4 linked regions of the Drosophila melanogaster genome follow. The protein of the gene in region 2 interacts with the protein of the main gene of each other region in a pairwise test. Each region holds a gene or a part of one and is shown on either strand. Other genes may lie near its edges. The genes, in order: CG13843, H15, CG43736 and CG34302.

Region 1 (3,729 bases), on a different chromosome or scaffold from region 2:
TTTGGACGAAGATCAAATTAAAAGCAACACAAACAAACATATTTTGTATAGTGTCCATAGCGCGTCGTTTGAATGATCCATTGAGTGAATATGTTAAAATAGAGCCCCGTCACCTGGGGGTTGGTATGTACCAGCACGATGTTCCCGAGAAGATTTTGACGGCATCGCTGAATGACGTTGTGTCCGAGTGTGTCAGTTATGTTGGCGTTGATCTCAACACAGCCAGTCTGAGTGTACTCAAGTATGTGTGATTAAGGGTCAAATAAGTTATATATTTTTAATATTCTCCACCATATAGGCACATTGCTGGTCTGTCGGAAAAGAAAGCGGAAAAGATCATTGAGCATCGTACGCAGAAAGGACCATTCAAGACACGGAAGGATCTGCTCTCCGTGCGAAGCATAGGTGAGAAATCGTTTGTCCAGTGCGCCGGTTTTGTGCGCATCGAACCCCGAAGCGTTGGAGGACAACTACAGAATCCATTAGATTGCACTTGGGTGCATCCTGAGAGCTACAACGTTGTGGAAAGGTAAGTCCAATATTCAATTGACTTCATTAACCAATAATAATGAGACTTTATTCCGCCTGATTCATCGCAAGCCTGGCCTTTTCATCCGCTGCCCTCACTAACAAGGAGGTGTCACTAGGTGTCACAATGTCACTTTCGTGTTGCGTGATGCCAGCTATGTTCTTTGGACAATCGTCGTCAAAATTCTTAAGATTTGTAACATCCTCGCTAGATTCCATTTGACACCAGCACGGAAGGTACGGCTTCAAGGGATCCTTCTTGTCGCAACGCTTGCAGGTGCAGTTCTCCATGCCGGCACTCATAAAAGTCCGGAAGTCCGTCTCCTGACTCAAAAGCCCCAGATAGTCCTCTATAGAGTGCTCTTTCATAGGGTCCATCAGCTCCGCCCACGTCTTTAGCTTCACGATCACGCCAAAGAAATACGTGTTTAAGTCCTCGATTATTTGCAGCACCGAATCTAGCTCTTTCAAGAATGTACTTCCTAAAGACCGGTCCAACCTGGCTACGCGTTGATCTAGCTCCTTTTTCGACTCACTCATGTCCAGGTATAAATTGCTCAAATCGGTGCTAAAAAGTTTTAAATTAGCAGTGGCTGTGTATTTTTAATAGACTTACTTTGACTGATTGACGATATTGTAGGCTCTCTGAAACTCGCAAAGGGCCCGCTCTTCGGTCATCCGGCTTATGTACTCGGGATAGGTCTTAGTGCATCCGGTCGAGCTGGCTAAAATGCGATAACGCACTCCATGGTAACGCATCTCCTTAACCCTCTCAATCTGAAATGGTTTGGCCTGCTCCAGCTCATTCTTCAGGGCCTTCATTTTCTGGTCAACTACTAGAGTTTGCTCGTGCACACACTGCTCAAGCTTAAAATCGTAGCGGGAGTAGATATTCTCACAATGCTTGAAGGTTGGCTTCAGCAAATGGATGGGAATGGTCGATCCCCGGCACGGTGGCGGAAGCGGACGACGCTTGTACCGCTCCGGCGGATACTCCCAGCAAACTCCAAAGCGGGTTTGATCCTGCACATTGAGCGGATGCTGCCAGCAGGGCTTGTATTTCGGCTTATCGTTGTGGCCGTAGAATGCTACCTTTCCACATGCAACATATCGAAGCTTGGCTGGCGGCACAATTGGAGGATAATGCCAGCGCTCCGCATATTCCTGCTTTAGCTTGGCAATCATTATAATGGAAAATTTGAAAACTTAACTCTAAAACCAAATACTTTTTGTGCTTTCAGTATTGTCGGAGAATGTGACTTAAAGCTGTCGGATGTGGGCAAGGCTGCCTTTATAGCTAGCATCAAGCAGTTTGCCTCATCCCAGCCTAATCTCGATCGCATTGCCAAGCAGCACAAGCTGCCCATGGAGCGAGTAAGTGCCACTCAATCTATACTAAACAGGCCTATTGCAATGTTCAAATAATTTAAAATAAATTTCCTTTCAGTTGGAGTTCCTGTTGGTTGCCCTGCAGCGCGAATTACTTCAGGATTATCGAGCAGATCTGGACAAGAGGCCACTGTTCAAACAAGGTCTAACTAGGCTGGATGATCTTAGCATGGGCGAGGTGGTCACTGGCAAGTGGAGACTATGATAGTCATTTCATATATGTACTTATTGAAACTATTCCGACACACAGGTGCCGTGACCAACGTAACCCAGTTTGGCGCCTTCGTGGACGTTGGAGTGGAGCGCAATGGCCTCATACACAACAGTAACATGAATAATTCGCAGCTGAGCGTTGGCGATCGCATTGTGGCATCGGTGGTAAAGGTGGATCTGAAGCGACGCCAGTTGGAATTACGTTTGGAAAATATGCTGATGGAGACGGATACCTCGTTTAAGTTCAAGGCGGAGGATTAGACAAACTGCAGGGATTTAATGCTTTCGGAAGTATTTAATGATTCATATCGTAATTGTTTGGTTGCTCACACGAGCATTCATATATACTATATATAGTTCATATATATATTTATATATATGTGTATATGCATAGTATAACGGCTTTCCTAAGTTTAATCAAAGCTTATCAGTTAGTAATAAATGTTCACATAAAAATCACCGTCTCCACGTTCGTCTTCTTGTTTCCCTTCTCGCCACAAGTTGGCAAGTTGTCTTAAATGAATTGTTATCGAAAGGGTATTGCTTTAGAAACTAAGTGATGCCCTCTTAAGCCAGTTAAAATAAATATACAATATGCATACATTTAGGCGCTTGGTTTGCAGCAGGCAAGTTGCTTTCACTTTTAGTTAGTTTGTATTTTCGAATTTATTGCCGTTTCAGTAGAATTGTTAAAAATTATTATAAACAATGTTATATAGTCTGCATTTACATAATTACACAATACCATAATCATAATATATTCAAAAATATATGATGCATTTAATTTTATTTTTTCCTCCATCTCTCTTTACCCCGTAATGGATATTTAATTTCATATTCTAGCTACATGGACATGTCGCGTAATCAACCGATAGTTGTTTAAATAAATATATTAATCCGTACATAATATTGGAGTAACTGTTCCTACACAGTTAAATGTGATAATGTATCGCAAAAGACCAAAAACAAGTTGTACACGGTATGGTAGTAATTGCTTAAGCTTAATGCTAATGCGCTTGTCCTCTTCTCAATTCTCATTTCGTTATTGTTACTGCCGATGTTCTCCATCTTGTGGTTGTGTAGAGATATTGTTCATTAATTAATAATTTATTTTTATCATTTATAATGATAGCATAGGTAATGATGTAAGTATTGTTTATCAACTCTTGTAATAATAAGTCTATGTGTATAAGCAGTTTTCATTCTCGTTCCTAAACAGCCGTCCAGCAGAATCTTTGGCGGAGCAAATATGAACGATAATTCAAATTCGAATCGATCTGACTGTGTAGCTTTAAATCAGGTGAAACCGATCTCGAATACCCTCATTCTGGATAAGTAGCATGGTAAATATAAAATCAACTGCACGAATTCGAGATAATCCTCTGGTTGCCGAGATTATGCCGATGTCTTCTGATGAACGACCTTTAAACGTAAAATTCTCCCTCGTTAATTATCGCATTGGTAGTCTAATTGTCTCAAATGATCTCTTTCTCGCAACCCCTGATGGGGTTTTAACTGACTGAAAGTGCACGAATTCCGAATTTCTGTGGCAGACACGGCACAGCCGCAACGCTTGAGTGTAAGTGGGTGGGTGGTGGC
Region 2 (4,709 bases):
ACGAAGGGCGCAGCTGACGAATTGTGAAAAAAGTCTGACGGAGGGAAACAAGATGGTGGCACCACCAGAGCCCCTTCCCCTCACCCCACCAGTTTCCTCCCTTTTCCATGGGTCTATAATTTTCTGCTGCGTTCACACGCCATAGTCGCATTTTTTTTCCAACCATCTTTTGTTGTTTCCTTTGAGCAAACATTTAAATTAAAAACATTTACATACGCCGGTGGGCGGACAAAAGGGAGGAGTGCCAGGAACCCAGATATTCAATTATGATTTTTCAATTGGAGGACCCAGCACACGAGACACTTTCTCAGATAAGTCCTGTCGCAGGACTTTTTGTTTTTTCTCTTGACGGTCTGGAAAATTATAGGGTGATGGTTAGGATGTTTAAAGGACATTTAAAGGGAATGAATAATTACAAGAATACAAATACATAAATATATTTTTCTTGGAATTTGGTGAAAATACAACTTGTAACGAAACAATTCAATACATTTTTCATAGCTCAAAATTGTACAATTTTTTTGAATAAAATGAGAAAAATGTGGAAACAGAAAACATTTCGAAATATTTTACATAAAATGCTGGCAAACAATAAAATGATGGCAAATGCGGGATAACCCCTTTGTTCATTTTTTACATTAATTTCCTCTCCTGAATTTTATAGATTTCCCTACCATGTTTAAATATGCTTTATAAGGTTATGTTTATAAAACATTCATTTCAATGTTATAGGTTAGTTCTTAATATAAAATCGTTTATTTAAGACTTAAAAAATATGTAATCAAGAACAATAATATTAATTTCAGAGATACCATGAAATTAAATATTATTAAAAGAATTTTTCAATATTCTCAATTTATACAGTAAACGTAACTAGAACGAAACTCACTCGCTTTTCCACTCAACTCAGTGCGCTGTGGTGAATAGCCAATGAGAAACGGAATGGAATCGGACCGAGTTGAGAATAATTGTAAATAGTCGACGAAAAGCGGTGAAACACACCCCCAACCCCGACCAACAAAATCCACTCACACTCACCATAGCAACAACAACAATGAAGCAAAGAACTGTCAACAGCCAAAAACAAAATGACGAATTTATGAACTCCTCAGCGCGCTCTCTTTCGCGCTCCCTTGCTTCTAGCGGCACGAGTGAGATGGCAGCAACAAAAGGCTCTCACTCAAATACGGCTATATAGAGTTGTCTCGCTCTAACACGCGGCTAGCTTATGAATTGGTATTGTTTTGAGTGCATGGGAATGTGTGTTCGAATTGGAAAATGGAAATGAGTTATGCCTCGACGCCGACGTCGCTGCAAGCAGCATGGGAATGCACTGCATGTGTGGCCATCTCGCTCACACCAGTCTAATTGAAAACCGTATTTTTTCCCATATTTCTTTTGCGGTTTAAACTGGCGGTTTGCCTACGTCACGTAAGGAAAGTTTCGGGCCATGTTCTCTGGAAATGTTTCCTTACGTCGCGTTACGTGGTGTTGAAAACCTTTCGCCGTAAGACACATCAGCTGTTGTTGTTTCTGTTTTGGGGGGTCAGTCGACGTCGCAGTTGGCTTCGCTGTCGGCGTCCTCGTATTTGTTGTTGATTTTTGCGTTGCGTTTTTTTGTTGGTTTTGTTGGCTTTGGCTTTGGCGCTTTTGGCGTTTACATGGCGAAAAGCGAATTGGGATTCATTCAATGGTCAGCTGCGTGACTGTGAAGCAGCGACGGCGCTCCGGAATTTCCCGTTTCCTACTCGAGAATACGCAAATTACGATAAATAGCACGAAAAACCGGAGACCGCAAATACGGGCGTAAAGTCGTCAAGTCGCAAAGTGTGTCGTAAAACGTTGGAAAAAATAATACACATTATTTGCAAAAAAAAATTAGACAAATTTTATAATATTTTATTATTTAATAAAAAATCAAACGGCACAAGAATAATAACATACATACATATATAAAAAGGAAGCAAAGCAACTCTGTGTGATAAAGCAGTTTAAATTATTAAAAGCAAAAGCCGGCAAAAAATCAACAAATATGTTGAAGAAAATTGTAAAGAATTCAGTTTAAATCCGAATATAATATTTTAAAGAGCATTAAACAAACAAGTCCCAAAATAGTAGAACTAATGCAAATACAAACATATCAAATAATGGGCAACAAATAGGCAAACGATAAAGAAAATACCAACAAAAGCGGGAAAGAAAGTCCGAAACCTTTGAGAGCATATATTTGGCAAGAATTGGCTAAAATCCGTGCAGCAGCATTACCAATTGGTCTCGGCCCGAAAATGCTTTTGAGCAATCAGCCGGCGAATACGAAACCGCAGCAAACGCCTTCGCCGTCGCAGACGCAGAACTTCAAGTCGAAGCTGCAGCAGCAGATTGTTTCGGCAGCGGCGGCGGCAGCGGCGAACATAGCCAACGGCAGCAGCCATCATCATCATCATCAGAACCATCATCATCACCATCCGCTGAACAACCATCATAATCACAATCACAATCAGCACAACATTTCCTTCGCCACGGATTTCTCAATTGCGGCGATTATGGCGCGCGGCGGAAACGCCCCAAGCAGCCGCGAACCTTCGGAACGCAGTCTGAGTGAGTAAAGTAATTCCCGCACTAAAATATCAGGCCTACATCGCAAACTAGACTCAAGAGCTGTTCAAAAATAGCCAATGCATTTTAGGGCTTCATTTTCGATTGGGTTTCAGAACAATAAGTATCTTGATATCGTTAGTTTGCATGAAACGAGCTTAAAAACCAATCTTCATTTGAGTCCCATCGCTTCATTCATGAACGTATGTTTCTTATGATTCTTGAATTCATATTCAGCTCCTTACTACAAACAAGTTTCACTCTATTAACATATTCAATATTCCATTCTTTCGATTGAGACTAATAAATTGGCCAGTCAAAGTTTGAAAAGATTTTAACTCTGGCATATCTAGCATGTTGATGTTTATCCCAAGTTACGGGCTTGTCTGCTGATTTAACTATAAATATTTACGATCCAGGATTAAAATATGAAAGGCTTGATAAATGATTGAAAATAATCAAGCTGTGACGAAGAGCCAATTATCACATTTATGTATTATTTATGTGAATTTTTTAATTCAGATTTCAGATACAAGATTAGGAAAGTACACTCAAAATCGAAATAGAACTCGATAAAATCACACATAAGAGCAGAAACAAAATGCATTGCCAGAAAAATATATGTGTAGCAAATTGGCTTTGAATACTTGAGACTTGATGAAGAACAAAAGCAAATTAGTAGGTTAGTGTGCTAGCAAGAAAATTGAAATGTAGTTGATATTTCTATATATTTCTAGAAACACGTAAAGCAGTTAGGAAAATATATAAACATATTTCATTGGCTTTGGTAAAGAGTCATGTAATCGATTGCTTAGTAATATTCACTTGCTTTATTACCCACCTCTTGAAAAACTGTCGCAGCTGCATTACATTTCTATATTTTCCACATTTTTTGCTGCCCTTTTTGTGCAATATAAATTATATATTGATGACAATGCAACGTTGATGACTTGATAATTGCAGCAAATGCGCGGCAATAAAATAATCAAAGCCTATTTGAATGCGCCAAAGGGGTTGGGAAATGCACATGACAGGCGCAGAGCAGATACATATATATGTATAATCGCATTTGTATATACACTCTGAATGCAAAACTATTTAGATGCCATAATTGGGCAGAGACAAAAGCGCAAACAGATGCATTCATTAGTGTGAAAACCGACCCCCCCCCCACCATCGTGCACACCATTCTCTTTCAATTGGCAATTTTCATTGGCAATGCCAGCACACAAATACACACGAAATTAACATATGAAATTGCATTTTGAGCAAATAATTGAATTTCTGGCGTAATCTGTAAAATGCATCTGGTCGCGAACTGGATTCTCGTTGGCATTGCTGTTGCGACTCGTCATCGACAACATGCAACATGTTGCAGCCCAGCAGCAACTCCCACATTAACGAGCCACGCTGATGTCTCTCTTTTCTAAGTGCACTGAAAGAATATGCTCTTCTAATATGACAACAAACAATTAGCACTTATGTCTGTTAAGAAATGATATACTTAAATACACATTCTTTACTGTTAGAAATTCGTAGGAATCTTTTTTATAAACTTATAAGCTCTAAGTATCATTATATTTAATATTAATTATTTTTGGTTACTTGTATCAAACATTAATTTTTAATGATTGTGTTTTGTAGTTGCAAGTAGTTGTTTTTCCATAATTGGGACTTAGTTACTGACGCATTCTGCCCCCCATTCATTTCTGGTCGTGTAGGTCCCGCATCTGTGGAGCGCTATTCAGGCCAGGATGCGGACGATGATGTTGACGTTGATGTGGTCGACTGCAGTGACTCGGAAATGCCGTCGGCAACTGCGGCAGCAGCAGCGGCGGCAACAACAGCAGCGGCTGCAGCGGCAGCATTGCAGGCGCAGCAACAAGCGCGTCAGGCATTGCGTGTTGCACAGCAACAACAGCAGCAGCAGCAACAACAAAGGCAGCAGACACATCACCACGCAACAACTGGCAAGCAACAACGCCAACATCACAATCATCACAGCAGCAACACCAACAACAGCAGCAACTCAGGCAACAGCAACACCAACAGCAAATCAAGCAGCCAGCGAGGGCGTTCTGCTGCCGCAGTGGGAGCCGCTGCCACGCCCTCGC
Region 3 (4,803 bases), on a different chromosome or scaffold from region 2:
GCATTACTCTAAAGTAGGCTCGAATTTCTAGATAAGGCTTGAAAAACGATAATTCGGTTGAGTGTAAAGAATCTTGTATCTATAATATTGTTCAGTAGCTGGGGTATAATAAATGATACCATAGCAACGTTGATATTATATTCCAGATTACGATTGGGCATTACTTCTCAAACTTTGCTAATAGCTTTGATATCCCAAAGTTTGATAAACATTGTGCATTAATTGGAGGAAAACGTTAGCTAGCCTAGTGCTCAACTCACCATCATCTGGGCGTGGAGCTGCAGGTTTGTCTGTCCGGACATCCATCCGCTGCTGGCCAAAGCCTGGACGGTGGCCTGCGATAACATCCTGTTGTTGCCCTGCGACTGCTGGAGCATCGACGCCGCTGCCGCCGCCTGGGAATTGAAGGCCGCTACCGCGGCTGCCCCAAAACTATTTGCCGCATTCGCCACACCATTGGCGCCGGCGGCAGCTGCTGCTGCGGCGGCGCGTTGCTTCATCAGATGCTGTTGATGCGCCGTCGCCGCTGCTGCGGCGGCAGAGGCAGCGTGCTGTTGCTGAGATTTTGAGGTCACCTGTTGGCCACCAGCGGTGTTCGCGGAGGATGATGCGGCTGATGTGTTCTGGCCCATGTTGCCGCCGCTGGAGGAGGAAGGGCCGGACGATCCGGAAACGGAGGTGGTCACTTTTGGAGGCGGCGCCGAGGGTTGACGGGTCCAATTGACCGAGTTGTTGACATTGGCCCGATTGCCAATGAGCAGATTGGAGTCAACCACCTTGCTGGGCCAGTAGTCCTCGAATTCGGTGCCATTTGGGAAGTAGCTTTTGATGTCCGTCAGCGAAATCACGGCCACGTTCTCGCTGGAGAAGAGCTCATTGCGTATGCCCTGCACCTTGCAGCAGAACTTTAGATAAGCCAGGTCCCAGCCATTGAGCAGCTCCGCTTTGGTCTTTAGATTCTCGGTCTCGCCCTCAAAATAAAAGAGCGGCACAACCTGCTGATTGTTGCGCACAGTGTAGGGCACCACGGACTCCTTGTTGATGCGAATAAAGCCGCACTTCTCCGACGGCGTCTTGCTGCCGGAGACTAGTTTCCTATAGCAAATATCCAGGAACTGATAGAACTTGGATGCGTCACTGAGACGCACCACCAAATCCTTTTGGTTGAAGATGTCGCGACCGAACTCGCCGTCACAATGCTTATGATTAATCTCGATGAAGAGACGGGCCTCCGCATCGGTGATGTAGTAGCTGCGCACGCAGGTGCAGCTGGAGTAGATATCCGGATGCAGGCAGTTAAGGTATTTGCCCAGCAGTTTCAGTTCGATCATGCGCACGGAGCAGTACTTCTCCGATTGGCGATAGATGTACGGTATGGATACCTTGCCGAACTGAGCCCAGCCGAAGTGGCCTTGAATGGACTCCTCGTCGCAGGGTCCCGTGGAGGACTTCTTGTCCGAGCCGGAGTCGCTGACGGCTCCATTCGAGCGGCCATTGGAGGCCAAGGCGGGCACCACCTGCATGGTGCCGTTGGGTAGTTTCTGATGACGAGATAGGTAGTTCATGATATTGGTCTGGCCATTGCCATTTGTGATCGGCGGCTGCATGTTGCCACCGGCCGAGGATGCCGCAATGGCGCCCCCATTCGAGTGCTGCATGGCCGCTTGACGGGATGCCTGCTGGGCGGCCTGTTGCTTCTGCTGCTCCTTCATTTTGGCAGCTAGTTCGCGGATCTCGGCGTCATCGGGACGCTCCTGCTTGACGGGCGGTCCCAGGGGACCGCCCAAACTGTTGCCGTGGAGCGGTAGGCTCTGGCCATTGGCATCGATGACGCTAGTGATCTGCACATCCTCGCTGGCCATCGCTCCTCCGCACACTCTCGCTCTTTTGCTCTAGAATGCTGTCTTGCTCGCGCTCTATGTAATCTTGCGTTATCGTACTTTTCCAGACTTTTCGATATCCACACTTTTGGTTTGGTTTTATATTAGGAGCTGTATTGAAAAATTTACTTGTTAGGATGACAGTTCGATTGGTACTGCCAGCATTTCAATTTGATATGTTATTTGTGTATGTATTTATATATATGCTCATATATGTCAATATATATTTAACAAAGACTGCATTATGTCTTACTGATTTTTTTAATTATTCACACATCAAAATGAAATTCTTTTGGCAAGTGTATTTGTTATTTAAACAGAACTATAAAAGAAATAAACAGCCGGCTTGTTCGATCCTTCTCTTTCTGGCACACAAACGGTCACACTGACCGGCTGTCTCACACACACACACACACACACACACACGTGATAATTTTTTTAGATGTTTTCCTTTGCAAGTGTGCGTGTGTTAATGCGCGCACTTATTTTTGTTGTTTTTCGAGCTCATTTCAACATTTTGCACACAATGCTATTGCTGTTGTTGTTTTTGGCATATAAATTATACATTATGTATGCATGTGGTACACTTACACAAACAAACGCTAACTGCATTTTGGCAGTGTGGCAAAAAAAAAAACAAAACTATTTAATGCATTTGTTGTTATATTTAGTTGCTGCTTTCTCTCTCCTCGTTTGCTTTTGGTTTATTAAATTCCTTTTTGTTGTTTTTGCGACGACGCTCGTGGTGAAAAAAAAAAACAATTTGTTTGGTTCTCTTTTCTTTTGATATTCGCACTTTTTCGCTAGTTTGCTTTAGCGCTTGTTCCGCATTCGACGCCGACGCACGTCCGCCCGTCTTCGCAATACACAAACGAGTGTGATCGTTGTTACGAAAATTATTTCAACGAAGTCAACTGAAAAATGTGTACGGCACACACACAAACCTACAGCCGTGCGCTCACCCACACTGGCGCAGCGCGCCGGCAGCGACGCCTACTGCGGCAGCGGATGCAGAGCGCAAAAGAAAAACGGAAAACACGAAAGAGAAAAAAACAAACACCCGTAGCGCAGTCGGCGTCGCTGCAACGCTGCCACGAACATTTTGCCGAATTGTTGTTGCTGCTGTCCGTCTCCCTTTTGCGCCCCCACCCCCCTTCTTATGCATTTTCCTACTCTGCCATCGCTCTCTCTCACCCTATTCGGCTAGCCCCCTCCTCGACGAACGCCTGCTCTCTCTCTCTCCTTCCGCTCATCGACTAGCTCTAAGCTGCGACGCCGACGTCAACGTAGCTGCAGAGTTACAACCCACAGTGGTTAAGACATAAGCAACTTATGGAAATTAATTAAGGGATCTTAGCCAATTCAGTATGAAAGTAAAATTTTATAAAATAATACGAATTTATGGGATTACAAGTTTACCATTTGTTGAATATTTAACCTCACAATTAAGTTCTTTAAATACTCTACACATATGTATCTCGAATTTGAACTTTTTATTGTTAAACTTTCTCTCAAATTCGCATTATTTTTTAGTAACACCATCTGGGAATCAAGCAGATCAAAAAAGGCAAGCTTCTTTGTGGCTTACTCATATAAATGGTGTAAAAAATAATGCAAACTAGCTAAATTTACTTTAAAATTAGTGTTTCCTTGTTACATGTTTACTCTTTACATACAGTTGTACAAATTTATTTGTATATATTATTTCTCTATAAGAATATAATAATGCCATTTTCCCCTGGCATTTGAACCACGGTACAAGGAAAGCTTAAGCTATGCTATATACAAGACCCACACACACTGACACATGTTCACAGAGAGCTGGCTGGGTCACAGTATTGGTATTGGTTTTGGTATTGGTGGTGTGATGATGATGTTGTTGCTTTTGTGCGGGAGTGGGTGGGTGGGTGCTCTTTGTGGGCGAAGGCGTGGCGGGGCGGCTCTATTTTTGGCAAGCACCAAAAGCAAAAGCAAAGGCCCCTGCTTAGCATTCGATGGCCACCTCTCCTCGCTCTAGCCCTCTCCCTTTCCCACATGCCATCACTCTCCCCGTCCCTTTCGCACCGTCGAATGCAAGAAGTTTTCGGTATTCGCGCGCTCTGCGGCTTTCAAGACAGGCCCCGTTCCAGAAGGCAGAGAAAACCGGGAACGACCGAGCACGAACACGAACAAACGAATACACGAGTTCACGAACGGGCGCAGCTCCAAAAGGTCGCCCCGACTCTAAACATTTACCAAAAAAAAAAATTTAATTAGCCAGGTCCAAGAGTCCAAGTCAAATTCCATTGTGCCGCCATCATACGGGGCTAAAAAGTTAACTGCCAGTTAATAACGAGTCCCGCGAAGTACAGTCAGATCAAAACAGGTGTTATTTGGTCCCGAAAACTAAACGTACAGTTGCGCCAAAACACATTGTGATATGTATTTTACTTAATGCAATGTCCACTTCAATTTATTTAGAACCAACTGTAGCCTATTAAAGGTTCTACTTGTTTTCATTCAATCATATGCTTATGTGTGTAATAGGATTACACAATATAAACCGAAACGCAATTTATATATGAATGTACGTAAGTACACCAATCAGTTTTTAGGGTATTCAAAAGCCGAGTGTCAATGGAAGGCACTGCAGTTTATTGGTATCTCTCGGCTTTGGTTTCAGGTGTCTCCCGGGCTTTTTAGTTTGTACGGTACGAGACTCTCCAGTGCGTGGCTTTCTTTAATTCTTTCGTTCTACGGGCTCCCTGTTTCGTGGCATCTCTCTTGATTTTGAGTGGGGGTTTTGATTTTTGGTGTTTTGCTTTGCTAATTAGTCAGCTGTGCGTGAGTGTGTTTGGGTATTTCTTGTACTTTGTGTGGAAGATGTTTTTTGTTTTTTTTTTCTCTACGGCCATGTAAACCCCCTTCTAATAGTGCGGTATTC
Region 4 (3,227 bases), on a different chromosome or scaffold from region 2:
ACTTCCCGGAATAAATTCGAGTGTAATTGACGGCGCATTTGATTTATTAGTTTTCTCATTAAACAAATTGTTGAACAATGCCGGGCAAAGAACAATACACTGTGCGACATTCCATGGTACACGCACACATACATATAATATCTCGCCCAGCACTTGGGTTTATTTATGTAGATTGATGGTCATTCGTGTAAACACATCCATTGACGTAAATTTGAATAAACATTTTCATTAGCCAAATGTCCATGAGCCCCTGGAGACAGTCGGAGCTTGATATCTGATGGGCAATGGACGATGGACGATGGGCAATGGACGATGGTAATGATGACCTGGCAATCACATTTGCTCAATTGGATTCGACTTGGTCGCTGCCCGGATTTTGGGTAATTTATTACACCGGCTAAAAGTACCAATTACAAGGCATCCGATTCAATCCTTTCCACGATTCCCTGGTGAGGAATTGACCTTCGGTCAAATTGGTAATGACCCATTATCACATAAACATAAACATAAACAGCTTTCAGTTTTTGGAAAAAAAAAGTTTACAATTTACCAAAAGGTGTATAAATACTTTATTATATCACGTTATCATTTATATGTATATTTCTCAGAAATATTTGTACTTTCTTTTGTATTAAAAGTGGATAGCAGCTACAAATTTCGTTTTCTATTTTCGCGCTTATTGTATTTATTTTCGTCATTGATCTCTGACGAAATGGTGGGTATATCTGCAAGCAGGTCAATATTTTTCTGAAACATCAGCATGTCTGCATCGACGATATCCGGTATATTCCAATAGTCCTCATTGACTTCGTATTTTGGATTTTTGTCATAGAAGGAACCGGTGAGTACGGAAAGCTGTAACTGCTGGCGAATCTTCTGGAACAGCTCAAGTTTCTGTTGGCGCTGCAATCTCACCTCGGCAATCACGCGTTGAAAGGTGGGGTCCATATGGCTCTTATCCTGGGCATCCGAACAGCGAGCAATGTTCACAAGGAAAGCCTTCGATTGGTCCACGGTCAGTCTCAGTCCGTCCATTGGTTTCTTTCCGGCCCAAAGAGTTAAGCAGCGGGCACACAATCCAGTCGGAAAATGGTATACCAAATTGGAGCACATCTCACATTTGGTAATTTCCAAAAGAGGATTACGGCGGAGTGGATCCATCGTGTTAATCGCTGGCAGGTCTTTAGCAAATGCAACTCCCTGCGAAATGTTCTCTGTCACTTCGATAGTCTTGAAAACGGGCCACTTTTTTGCGTAACCTCAAAAAAGTTCGATAAATGAAATCTCTAAAATAGGGTTAACACCTTTACAATGGTTTCTTATTGGAATTTTAGTCCCTATTGTTTTTGAATGCAAATCAAAAACTTGATTGACCGTTAAAAAATATTTTTGGCACGGTTATATTTTTAATAGTAATTTAGCAGTGCCTGCAATTTTTGTGTAAATACAAATTACACATCTTTTCCATCAAGTAATTGAAATAAAAAAGTTCCCCCTCCGCCGGCAAGTAGTTTTCCACCCATTTTGTCAGGTGAATTCATCCACATTTATCAGCTGTAAAAATCTTCAGCTCCCAAAGCAAGGACTTCTTAAACCTTAACTCTTTTGGAGGCCGACGCTGCTCTCTTTTTTTTCTCCAGCTCAGAACGGAATTCGTTTAATTTGTTAAATTGAAATTATGGTAATTTCCTGCAGTCATGCGAACCTTTTCATACCCGTTCGTGTCTGGCCGGAACCAATGACGAGAGGCCTGGGCCGGATGGAGGGGCCACCCAACGTTGGCTGATGGCTGTTAGCTAACCGAAAGTCAAGTTCATAAATTTGAGGCCCACGGTGCGAGGAGAACTACCTGTCCAGGTTTTGGTGGTCGCACTCATTGCAGCAGCACGCCTCATGGCTCAATCCGCCTGCCCCCCAATCCTCGTGTCACCCTCCTGGCCCATGCCATTTGCCTGACGCCTCCAATCCGAAGGTTGGAGCCCGGCTAATCGATAGCTCTCCATGGCGATGGACGGGGTGGGTGTTGATTTATGGCATTGCCGACGCACCGAAACTCGCTCCGAGATCCGACGAAAGTGACACATTAATGTGTTCAATTGAAGTGCCAACTACCTGCCGCTTTGTTCCTCCTCATCCGCAGCGCAGGTGGTGGAGGAGGAGGACCAGCCAGGACAGTTGGAAACAAAAAGCGCCCCCGGTGCTCTGGCAGCTTGTTAAGCTCGTTGTTCTCTCAATTGCTCCTCCAAGTGGAGCCCTTCCTTCCAATTTGCGCATTTTCAAGCCATCAATCGCTAGGATACAGCAATCAGTGGTGGGTAGGGTACAATGTCTTCATATGTGATATGTTTGTAAAACAACTCAATATTACAGATATTTAAATGAAATATTTACCTTCGCTTGAGGTTAGATATTTTATATACCCAAGTGTATGTAGATACGGGAAAGATTTTCCAATGGCTACTAGTTACCTGTTGAGCAAACGCGTAGCCCGAGGAGCTGCGTTCTTGTAGCGATTTGTGCTCGCAACTTTGTGGCAGCTTCCGTTATGAGGGACTCGCTTCCTGCCACACTAATCGATGAAGGATCAACTGGGGCCTACGGTTATGACATCGTTCCCTAAAAAACTTTTTCCCACCCAATGTGTTTGTAGTATTCCAGCACAGAGAACGACCGCTGAGTTGGGCTAACTCAGTTTTCGGGTTGCGTCGGGCAAACAACTTGAATCGAAGGCTGTGGCTGCTGTTTGCTGGATCCTTGGTTTCTGGCAGAAACCACGGCAGTTCTTTTTTCCCATACATATGCGAACACAACAAACGCACCAAGCGATGGAAAATCAGTGGAGTGGGGGCGACCAGGGTTTGTGGCATGGAGATTGTGTTTGCCAATGCTGCAGCTCAAGTGTAAACATCATCTGGTGGCAAGGATGTGCGGATGAACTTTCCCATAAGGCGGGGAAATGAGCACAGAAACAAAATTCTGCGCGGGAAGGATATACTGGTTGAAAAAAGTTCTCGATGTTCTTAGAAAACTTTATCATTGAATTATGAAAACTGCAAATTCTCTGTTGAAATATTTTATATTGCGAAAAAGGAGTCTTGGATGTGCAGCAAAAGAAGTTGGTGCATTTGCTTTGTTTGCTCCAAAACTTTCGGAGTTATAAACTATGCTTGCATACTTTTAGGAACATTTATTATTAACGAAGTTTAAAGCCTTTCAATATGTTCATA

The links.
Region 1: the proteins of H15 (region 2) and CG13843 interact in a two-hybrid assay, tested with the Drosophila melanogaster proteins (one large-scale study listed by BioGRID).
Region 3: the proteins of H15 (region 2) and CG43736 interact in a two-hybrid assay, tested with the Drosophila melanogaster proteins (one large-scale study listed by BioGRID).
Region 4: the proteins of H15 (region 2) and CG34302 interact in a two-hybrid assay, tested with the Drosophila melanogaster proteins (one large-scale study listed by BioGRID).

What each region holds. Positions count from the first base shown.
Region 1 is NT_033777.3:22,607,522-22,611,250, reverse strand, and holds CG13843 (uncharacterized protein), read right to left. Parts: upstream 1,767-3,729; 5' UTR 1,714-1,766; coding exon 1,145-1,713; intron 1,097-1,144; coding exon 577-1,096; 3' UTR 536-576; downstream 1-535. Other genes in the region: CG31156 (uncharacterized protein), read left to right, coding at 52-241, 299-529, 1,770-1,902, 1,976-2,105, 2,168-2,391.
Region 2 is NT_033779.5:5,402,595-5,407,303, forward strand, and holds the start of H15 (H15), read left to right. Parts: upstream 1-1,685; 5' UTR 1,686-2,285; coding exon 2,286-2,598; intron 2,599-4,316; coding exon 4,317-4,709.
Region 3 is NC_004354.4:6,866,449-6,871,251, reverse strand, and holds the start of CG43736 (uncharacterized protein), read right to left. Parts: upstream 3,026-4,803; 5' UTR 2,472-3,025; intron 1,992-2,471; 5' UTR 1,863-1,991; coding exon 261-1,862; intron 1-260.
Region 4 is NT_033777.3:9,822,451-9,825,677, forward strand, and holds CG34302 (uncharacterized protein), read right to left. Parts: upstream 1,374-3,227; 5' UTR 1,162-1,373; coding exon 649-1,161; 3' UTR 549-648; downstream 1-548.